Schizosaccharomyces pombe: one gene and its partner. The protein of the gene in region 1 interacts with the protein of each later gene in a pairwise test. Each region holds a gene or a part of one and is shown on either strand. Other genes may lie near its edges. The genes, in order: ell1 and eaf1.

Region 1 (5,198 bases):
ATATGAAGCTGTTTGCACACAAGTAATATCATTTCAGTAGATGAGAGCATACCAGAGTTGTTTATAGTGCAAAGTCGGTTGCTTACTGCATCACCTTTGAAAACCCCCTTTCTTCAGAGTTAAACTTTTCTCTCATTTATTATCTGTCAAGGTGTATTGCTCGGACACTTCTTATACTGCCTTTGCATTCATTTTTGCTTGCAATTTATCCTCCCGTGATATTCCTTGTCATCTTATTTTTCTATCTCCCTTCTCATTTAGCAGTCTCTTGAAAATCTCTTTTACTTTCTTGCTTTCTTTCTAGCAACTATTCACTTTATCGCTGATTTAGCGGAAACCGCTTACTAACCTACCCATGTTTACAAATGAAACGGATTCGTTCGTGTTGTAAAATTTATCGACATAACTTTGAATGTTACAGAGTTAATCTGAATTCATTCTTCCTTTTTTGTACCTTTTTTCTTGGGCGCTTGCTCGTAATTAGCAACTTGCGTTAAAATTCATGTAGTAGTAAGTCGACTTGATAATGTAGTTATGTAGTTTTATTTTATAAAAATAGATTTTTGCGAATAATCGTCGAGCATTCCGTTCAATTCATTCAATCACTGCGAGGGTTTATCGGGTTAATCTTCTGTAAGGAATATCGGCTTTTATGGAGTTAAAAATTGGTATGAACATTTTCCATTTGCATAAGCGAAAAAAACACGAATGTTTGTTTATTGAAATCGTTCGCACGATAGTGGAAACCAAAACATATATGGCAAAAAGCCTACAGCACCCCGGATTCCCATGTTGTCTCCAACCATAGTACTAACGAGGCCCTCAGACGCTTAACTGCAGTGATCGGACGGGAACTGGTGTTTTCGCCTAGGTATGGCCGTAGACGTTTGTCAAAAAATTTAACAAGATATATAGTGTAAGAAAAGATAAGAGGTATTTTAAATTTTGTTAAAAGCTTCAACATGATTTTTGAAAGAATTTTCAATGAGCACAATAATAAAATAACTGGTAGTACTCGTTTAACTGTGTATATACAAAATATATTTACACAAAAATATATCCGGTCAGGGAGGGACTCGAACCCTCGACCTCACGATTAACAGTCGTGCGCAATAACCAACTATGCTACCCGACCTTGGATGTCTGTAGATATATTTTAAACATATATATCTTCTATGCTTTAAACCTAGTCATTACTTTTGTCTTAATACCAGTTATTCTGAATCATCAAGTATTTCGGAACTTTAGTTATACTATATTTGTATTAGTAACATGAATTTTAAAGGATAGATAATTCCACTCAGAAGAAGACTGTTTCTAGACTATAAATATATTCACTATGTAGTAAACATATGTAAAGATTCAATGAAAAACAAATGGTTCGTTATTCGATTTGAATTAAATGAAATTAACAAATTATCATAAAAACAATCTAAATAATTGCGTAGTTTGATAAACACGAATAACAGGACCAGCAAGTAAAATCAAAAAAAAATCTGTGGTTAATTAAACAGCTTTATATTGGCTCATTTAACCTGATAAATTAATGTACTAAAGACCTTTTTTTTGTTTGAAATTATAAATACCACAGTTCGTCAACAAAAGTGAATTCAATTATGGAATAATTGGCAAAATTTGTAAAGCATCATTGTTTTCAATTCAGTAGAGTTTTCAAGAAGTCATTGATTAAATAAGTCTAAAAGATTCACTAGTTCATCAATAAATTTCTGGTCCCGTAACCCTATTCCGCCGCTTAGAATTTCGAACCTAACGGAAATTTATTTTTTTAGAAAAATATGATTTACTTATATCTAGATAGTAAACTAAGGACGCAAGCTCAAATTTGTTCAGCATCGCTCCCTAATTCTCATTTTTCCACTGTTACTAAAAACTGAACTATGTAAACCAAAGTCCGATATTCATCTCAAAAAATAGTACACTGTCACATATGAGCTAAAAGGACATAAAAAGAAATATTTTTTTACACCAAAGCTGCAACTTGTTTCTTTGAATTTCGAATGTTTACATTATTCTTTCCATTTAGCGATACGCTGCTTATTCCTATTGTACACCACCAATATGTGCTACTTTTTGTTACTTAGCTCTAGCTAGGTTTCATACATAAGGTGCATCTTTATGTTAGTCCACCTTCTTATCCCTTTACCGTACTTACTGGCTTCTTAAACAAGCTTCTCCGTTGTGCCATCTAGCTAATATAATCATTTTGAGAGGCTTTTACTATCGATCTATTTGGGTTGAATGATTAGGAACAGTAGCATTTCTGATGCTCTACCTGTAGCATTAGGCGGAAATGAAGAAGAATCGCCTTTATTGATGCTGGTACAATTACCCAAAGAGTTTCTCGAAGGATATCTTTCAGGAACGATAACAGACGTGAGCTTGGAATGCAGTGATGTTGGTACTGTATGTGTGGGCATTTGTGAAGAGCGATAAAGAAGAATGAATTTTGAATGTTGCTAACCAATATACTTTTTTTAGTCAATATTAGCGAACGATAGGTCTTACAAATGCACTTCCGTTCCAGAAACTGCTCCGCATGAGATTTACAGACTGGTGGACTCGAATTCGTTACAACTGGTTGGCCGTGTCTCACAAAAGCTACAGCTTCGTAGAGAGCTCGACAGTTTAACTGCTGAGCGAGTGAAAAATCGTACGCAGGAAGCTCAAAAGGAAAAAGAAGAAAAAAGGTATGAAAAGAACGACAATAGTATCAACCAATTCTATGGATTGGAAGAAGTTACTTTCAATCTTTCTCTTTTCAAATTATGCTAATATTTGTAAAAATAGAATTGTTACCCTTCAAAATGATGGTGGTTCAAAAAATACAACTGCTAGGAAGCAAAAGCAGTTAAAAAAAAATGGACTCAGGCCTCTCAATACAAGTGCTTCACGAATTGGTCTTTCCTCTTCTCCCACAAATACACCTTCCCCAAACCTTCCCGTCTCGCAACCGTCTGCATCACCACATTATTCTGGTGATAAAAACTCGGCCAAAGGCATTGATCTTCGTACTCGTGTTATCCAACTTTTGGCAATCGCTCCCGAAACTGAAGATTTTCTTCGTTTAAGAACAAAGGCGTCACTTTCCAAATTACAAGCGTTATTACCAGAAGTCGCTTGGAAGAACAACATGAATCAATGGGAGCTCCTTAATCCTGTGTATAAAGATGTACGAGTCTTTGATTGGCGTCCTTATAGTATTGCAGACAGGAATGCCGTTCTAAGTCGTATGTCCAATGCATTCGACAACATGCAATTGCCTCCTGATGCTCCTGAACGTTCACTTTTAGTGTCAAAACAAAAAAACATTACTAAACTCAACAATGAAAAACGAATTCCTCCCCAATTGGCCCAACCCACTTCTCATGTTCCTTCATTCATTGACACTAACTCTCCTTCAATGCCTTCTATTTCCTCGGTTTCTTCTTATCAACAACAACACCGCATACCCAAGCTCAACGCTTCAAACTATTCTCCCTTGCTTTCCCCCTCCTCACACCGAAAAACATCGGGAAATCTTTCTCGTACTGGTTCAGAAAGCTCTGCCGTTTCATTAAGCGATACAACAAACTTAAATACTCCTATCTCCGACATTCCTTCACCTGGCTCTTCCACTACTTGCTCCAATCTTTCATCTCCACATATCAAACGAAAAAGTCGTTCTCCTCCGCAATCCTTGCCTTCCACCCCGTTTCCTACGTCTTCGTCTTCTACCAACGGCACTCTTGAACCCAATGCAAACTCTCCCAAGAAGAATGAACAAGATGCATGGATAGCTAAAAAGCGTCGTCAACAACGTTACACTACAGAAGAAATGCGAGCATTGGCAAAAAGATTTCGGGAAACTTATCCGCGTTATAAGAATTTATATTTAAAAGTCTCTTCATATTATGATAATAATGATACTAATAATCCTAATTTAAACAAGCTCCAAGATGAACTTATATCTCTACATTCTCAGCTCAAAAGCTGGAAAAATACACTTTACGATGCTTCCTCGGAGCTAGCCCTCTAACTTTTCTCAATAAATTTCCGGTTTTCTTAACACTCAGTTTTATTTCCAATGTTTTATAAAGGTGACGGTTATCTCAGCTTCAATTCAAAATTGTTTCAATACTGTACGGTGCCTACAACGAGTGCAGGCTGTTTTTTCCTGCTTTCGTTAAGGCTAGTGTTTCGTTTAAAAGATAAATTGGTTAAATTCATATTCAATTAGCAGTTTATTGAATATTAGTTTGTTTTTGATTTTATAATGAGAATCTTGTTATTGTGATGCTTTTTTTAAACTTTTATGACATATCTTTAAGTTAGTTAAACTGCGTGAATTCCTTATGTGCTATCACTTTTTTTTGGGCTTAAAAGTACCACTGATGAGTCCTTTCGTTTAATCTAATTTATTTTGTTTTTCTTACCACCTTTCATGAAATATTCCGCCAAAATTTTTTTTCTACATTAGTACAAAGTGACCCTGAAACAAAAACTATCATTAAAATGTTTAGGTATTCATTGATCCGTTGATTACTGATTTACCTTCATAAGTCATCTAATATAAATATTTGGAGACCAGCTTCTTTCACAGCTTAACCAGCGCTGATAGCAAAAAAGTAAATTCTATTTTCGTTTATCAGAAGCAAATATTTAATCAATTAAAATTAAAACTTTTATTTATCAAATATCGGTAATAACTACAATGTGTAATGGTATATAACCTTCAACACGGTCGTCCTTATTTTTGCCTTTCTTATATTGTTTTATTTAAAAAGGATACAAAGTTAATAAAATACAACAGAAACAAAAAAAATTGCAATTCTTTTATATAACCTCCTTAAGCCAGCGGTAATAATGCGATGGCAAACGTCGATGTTCACGCAAACCTACAGAAACTACATTGATATCCACTTCTGGCTGCCATAGTTGGCATTGTCTAGAAAGGGCACCACTAACATTAGTAGAAGGGTGAACCGGTATAATCAATCCTATAGACCCTAAAGTTTCCCATGCTTCCAAAGCAACATCCCTTCCCCATAATCGACTGCTATGAGCTAGAGCTCCCGATGCTGCGGCATTTATAACGGAAGATTGATGCAGTTGTCGATATTCTTGATAAGCACTATTAAAGTTGCAAGCTGGAATATCCCTAGCTTCAAAGCGAACTGCACAAATCAATAAAGCCAACT
Region 2 (4,033 bases), on another chromosome or scaffold:
AAATACGCCATCCTTGCATGTGTGAAACGCCAAAATGAAGCCATCGATCCCCGCCAGAACTCGAATGTTTGTCGAGTACGGGTTCTGAGAGTGTTTGGCCCATGTGTATATTTTCTATTACCTTTGTTAGCCCAGCTAAAAAACCTGTAATTTGCGGTTGATGCGTTTAGTAAAGTTACGGAAAGGAAACAAAAAAAAGTGTATGAGCAAATTAATAGGGAATTTAACCACGCTAGCTAAATAATATATAAGGATACTTTAAAAAAACTTTATATCGCATTACGCTTTAAAGTTGTCTCGTTAAAAAATAGCGATTTTCTGTACACCACGGAAGCGTTGCTTTGCAAATTCGTACGCTTTACGTTATTAACCAAATCGTTGTTGGGTAGAAAAGCGTGAAAATGAAGGGTGGGTAAATAATTTAGTAGAAATGATTTACAATATAAAAAATAAATTTTGATACTGTTAAGCTTCAATGTGCTCCAGCTCCGGCTAATATACCCTCACAAAGACACTAATGAACGATGCCTTGAAATTGCTAGCGCATCGAGGAGCCCTTACTTATAATAAAGCTATGGCGATATCGAAAAAAGTAATCCAAACCCAGGTCTAAAAGCAATTCTTGCTTCTTTCCTTTCACTGTTCGCTCTGGCAAAAAGGTCGTACTGGGAGTCGAACCCAGATCTCGAGAATCAAAATCTCGCGTGCTAACCGCTACACCATACAACCGAGTACGGTAAAGCCGTAGATTATGTTGCTTTACCATAAATGAAAAGTTAATATAATAATCCAAGAGGTAGAGAAATGAGAATGGAATGTTCATGAAAATGTCGTAGACTTTTTCCCCATGCAACTTGGTACATTAATAATACAATAATAAACATAATCTTATTCAAAAAGGCTTTGCTCACAATGCTCATATACCTGCTTACACTAGTCAACTGTTTATACAAGCTCTTCGTAATTAATGTATTAGAAGCTAACTTCGTTAAAAATGTTAAACGTTCATTTCCCGCGATTCGCTATATGGTAAATTTTTTAAAAAGAAATGAGCTGTAGCTAATAAATATCAATGAATGATAGATTGACGCAGCAATAAGAAAAACCATGTATTTTGACTACTGATTTACTAATTTTTAAATCGATCGTGACGTTTTTGTTGTCAATAGCAGCAATAAATCTAACAGTCATCATACTCTGAGAATTTTGCCCTACGACATGCACCTAAAAGACAAGAAACGCAAGTAAATTTTTATAATATTTCAATCATACTGCTGACTGTGCGCAGGTAGTCCTCGAATGTATATATATCTTGTAAATAAAGGATTCATCCTTGTACCGAAATGATATATACTGTACAACCTACAACGTCTTTCTCGGTCGCGCACTGTGTAAGTTCGTTTTTACGAATGCTAAAATAGCTGCTCGCAAATTGGTATAGCAAATTGAGTGTTTATCCATTATCGTTCATTTCTTGTCAGCAATACTACACTACGCTATGATACACTACGTTGCGCATCACTATATGTCATATGTTGGAATACTAGCTAAGATCCGTTTATTGATAATCACGGGTAACTATCCGTCTATATACATAGATACCCGATGATAACAACTATTTAGAAATATTATGAATAGAGTTCCAACTGAACCTCGTTCCTCAGTTCAGTTATGAGCTATATTAGTGATAGGTAACATTATAACCCTGTTAATACAATACCTATTCTCAGTTGCTACTTATACAACCTGTGTAATGTAATATAATAGACCACAAGGAAAACTCACCGCAGTTCTACGTATCCTTAAACCAGATACCAAACTGCGTAGCTTACATTTCTGGGGTTTAAAATTAGAAACCTTGAGCTGTCTTACCTTACGTTATTTATTTGATTTATATCGAAATTTCCAATTTCGTACAGGCCTGACTTTTACCATTATAAACAATCATGAATTCATTACAGAAGGGATCATACAAAGTTATTCCCGGGTCCAGCTTCTCAAAGAATTCAAATGGACTTTTATCTATTAAATGTACGTTGCCCATTTATTTTTAGAGACAGTGTATATCTCTGTTGCAAACTATGAACATCATACTTTCTCCAGGCAGAATACTTATTTCTTTTTTGTTTATAGACAATTTTATACCAGAAAGTGTGGACCCTTCTCGTCGAGGTGTTTTAGAAAAGGCTCAGGAAGCCTATCGTCTACGTCTTCCTTCAACTTTTGTAAGTATTATAAAATTGACTAAGCAAAGTTGGTTTCCCTTTTCTTCCATGAGGAGTAAAAATTTGAAAAAATCATTTTTTTACTTTTTGGTTCCTCAAATTTTGAAACATCAATTTGCTTCTGTTATTGAATCAACGAATGCTAATGTATATCTTCATTGGTAGGATGATGACAGGCCTCATATATTTGAAGGCTCATGCCAACGAGCCAGGAATGTGGACTGTGTACTAATTTTTAACGCTAAAACAAAGGTAAGTTATTGTCCCATATACTATTTTTAAAGAGGTTAAAATCTATGTATGCATGCGTGCATGTGTATGTATAGAACAGGAATCGTTTTCATGTCACTACTACGATACTAACATTAGGCATTAGACATTCACACTGGAGCATATTGATGAGATTGCTCGATTAAATGCTTTACGCAATCCAAAAGTCTCTAAAACTGTACCTTCTAATGCCATCACTCAATCTGATAATTCCCAAATCTCTGAATCCAAATCGACCTCTCAAAGTGCGGTCACGACTAATTCCACGAGACGTAAAGAAAAGGAATTGGAAGCTTCAAAGGATGGAAAAATAAAACCTTCATCGAGCAATACTCGATATCCTGCCATATCTAGCAAGGGACCAATCACCACCGATACCAACGATGAGCCTGACATGGAGGTCATGGAGTTGGATGACTTTGCCAAAGAGTTAGAGCTAGGATTTGATCAGGAATTTAATTCCATAGACGACCCCTCTACAGTATCCCAAACGGCCAGCAAACCAATCTCTTTGAGGGGTCTATCTTCGCAAGAGAGGGATTATGCTTCTTCTGCTCAGGCAGAGGGTATCAGCAGCGCTTCCGAGGATGAGGATTAAGTATGCTTTATGCTGTGTTTCGTATACACTTTCCAAACACGATAATGAGAAAATCTGTTAATGAACGACTTGCAACGAAATTCCAGGGAGTAAAGTAAAGCAAGACAAGTCTTTTCCATCACTACTCGACAGCGAATCGGCGGTAATAAACTCGTTTCACTCTGTGTCATTTTTTTAATTATATACGAACGTGTCTACGCCAAGGGAAAAACATATATCGTTTTAAAATGTTTTCATCTTTTTATATTTCTTTTTATTATTATTAATTCATAATGACTATAAAAAACATGGCTTGTCTTAGCGTTTCATGAGACGGACAATTTTATTCAACCCACGGCAATACCAGAGTAGCAACGTTGGGGTTTTAAATAAACTATAAAAAAAAAAGAAGCTTGACTAGTAAAAAAAAGAATTAGTAAAAGGAGTTAAGAAAAACTAATTGTCTGAACCAGGAAAAAGACAAAAAAAGAGTTTTGACATTCGTTTGTAAATTGCTCAGTAATCAAAGTTGACAGCATTTTGGTTGTCAAGACCATCAGGCTCATTAAATCAGATGATTAAGCATCCTTGCAATCCAACATTTGTCGTTTCAGTTTCCTGCATGCAAAAGACGAGCTTACCTATTTAGTCTGAATATATGAAAATGAAAAGAAGTTACTCAAAGCATTTCCACTAAGGAAAATATATTGTTGTAATTAGAAAAACTAAACTAGAAATCACCATCCAACAGCATCAGTCAGTATAGATAGTGTCAACTAGCGGTGTGTTTTACCAGGTAAACATGTTGGACAAGGAATATAATGAATACGTTGTTTAAGGAAGAACGAAGGTAGAGGTGTGTGTGTATATATAGTGTATGGGGGCATTAGGTAACAATGTTGTCTGTAGTTGAGAGAGTGTAAACAAGGATAGAAGAGAGAAGAGGATTTAAAATAAATAA

Evidence for each region.
Region 2: the proteins of ell1 (region 1) and eaf1 interact in a two-hybrid assay, tested with the Schizosaccharomyces pombe proteins (2 studies listed by BioGRID).

The regions. Positions count from the first base shown.
Region 1 is NC_003423.3:2,028,097-2,033,294, reverse strand, and holds ell1 (RNA polymerase II transcription elongation factor Ell1), read left to right. Parts: upstream 1-2,154; 5' UTR 2,155-2,259; coding exon 2,260-2,424; intron 2,425-2,499; coding exon 2,500-2,708; intron 2,709-2,808; coding exon 2,809-4,036; 3' UTR 4,037-4,685; downstream 4,686-5,198. Other genes in the region: origin recognition complex subunit Orc4, read right to left, coding at 4,834-5,198.
Region 2 is NC_003421.2:1,859,827-1,863,859, reverse strand, and holds eaf1 (RNA polymerase II transcription elongation factor Eaf1), read left to right. Parts: upstream 1-1,923; 5' UTR 1,924-1,946; coding exon 1,947-2,031; intron 2,032-2,133; coding exon 2,134-2,225; intron 2,226-2,390; coding exon 2,391-2,477; intron 2,478-2,601; coding exon 2,602-3,093; 3' UTR 3,094-3,393; downstream 3,394-4,033. Other genes in the region: serine/threonine protein phosphatase PP2C catalytic subunit Ptc2, read right to left, coding at 1-103.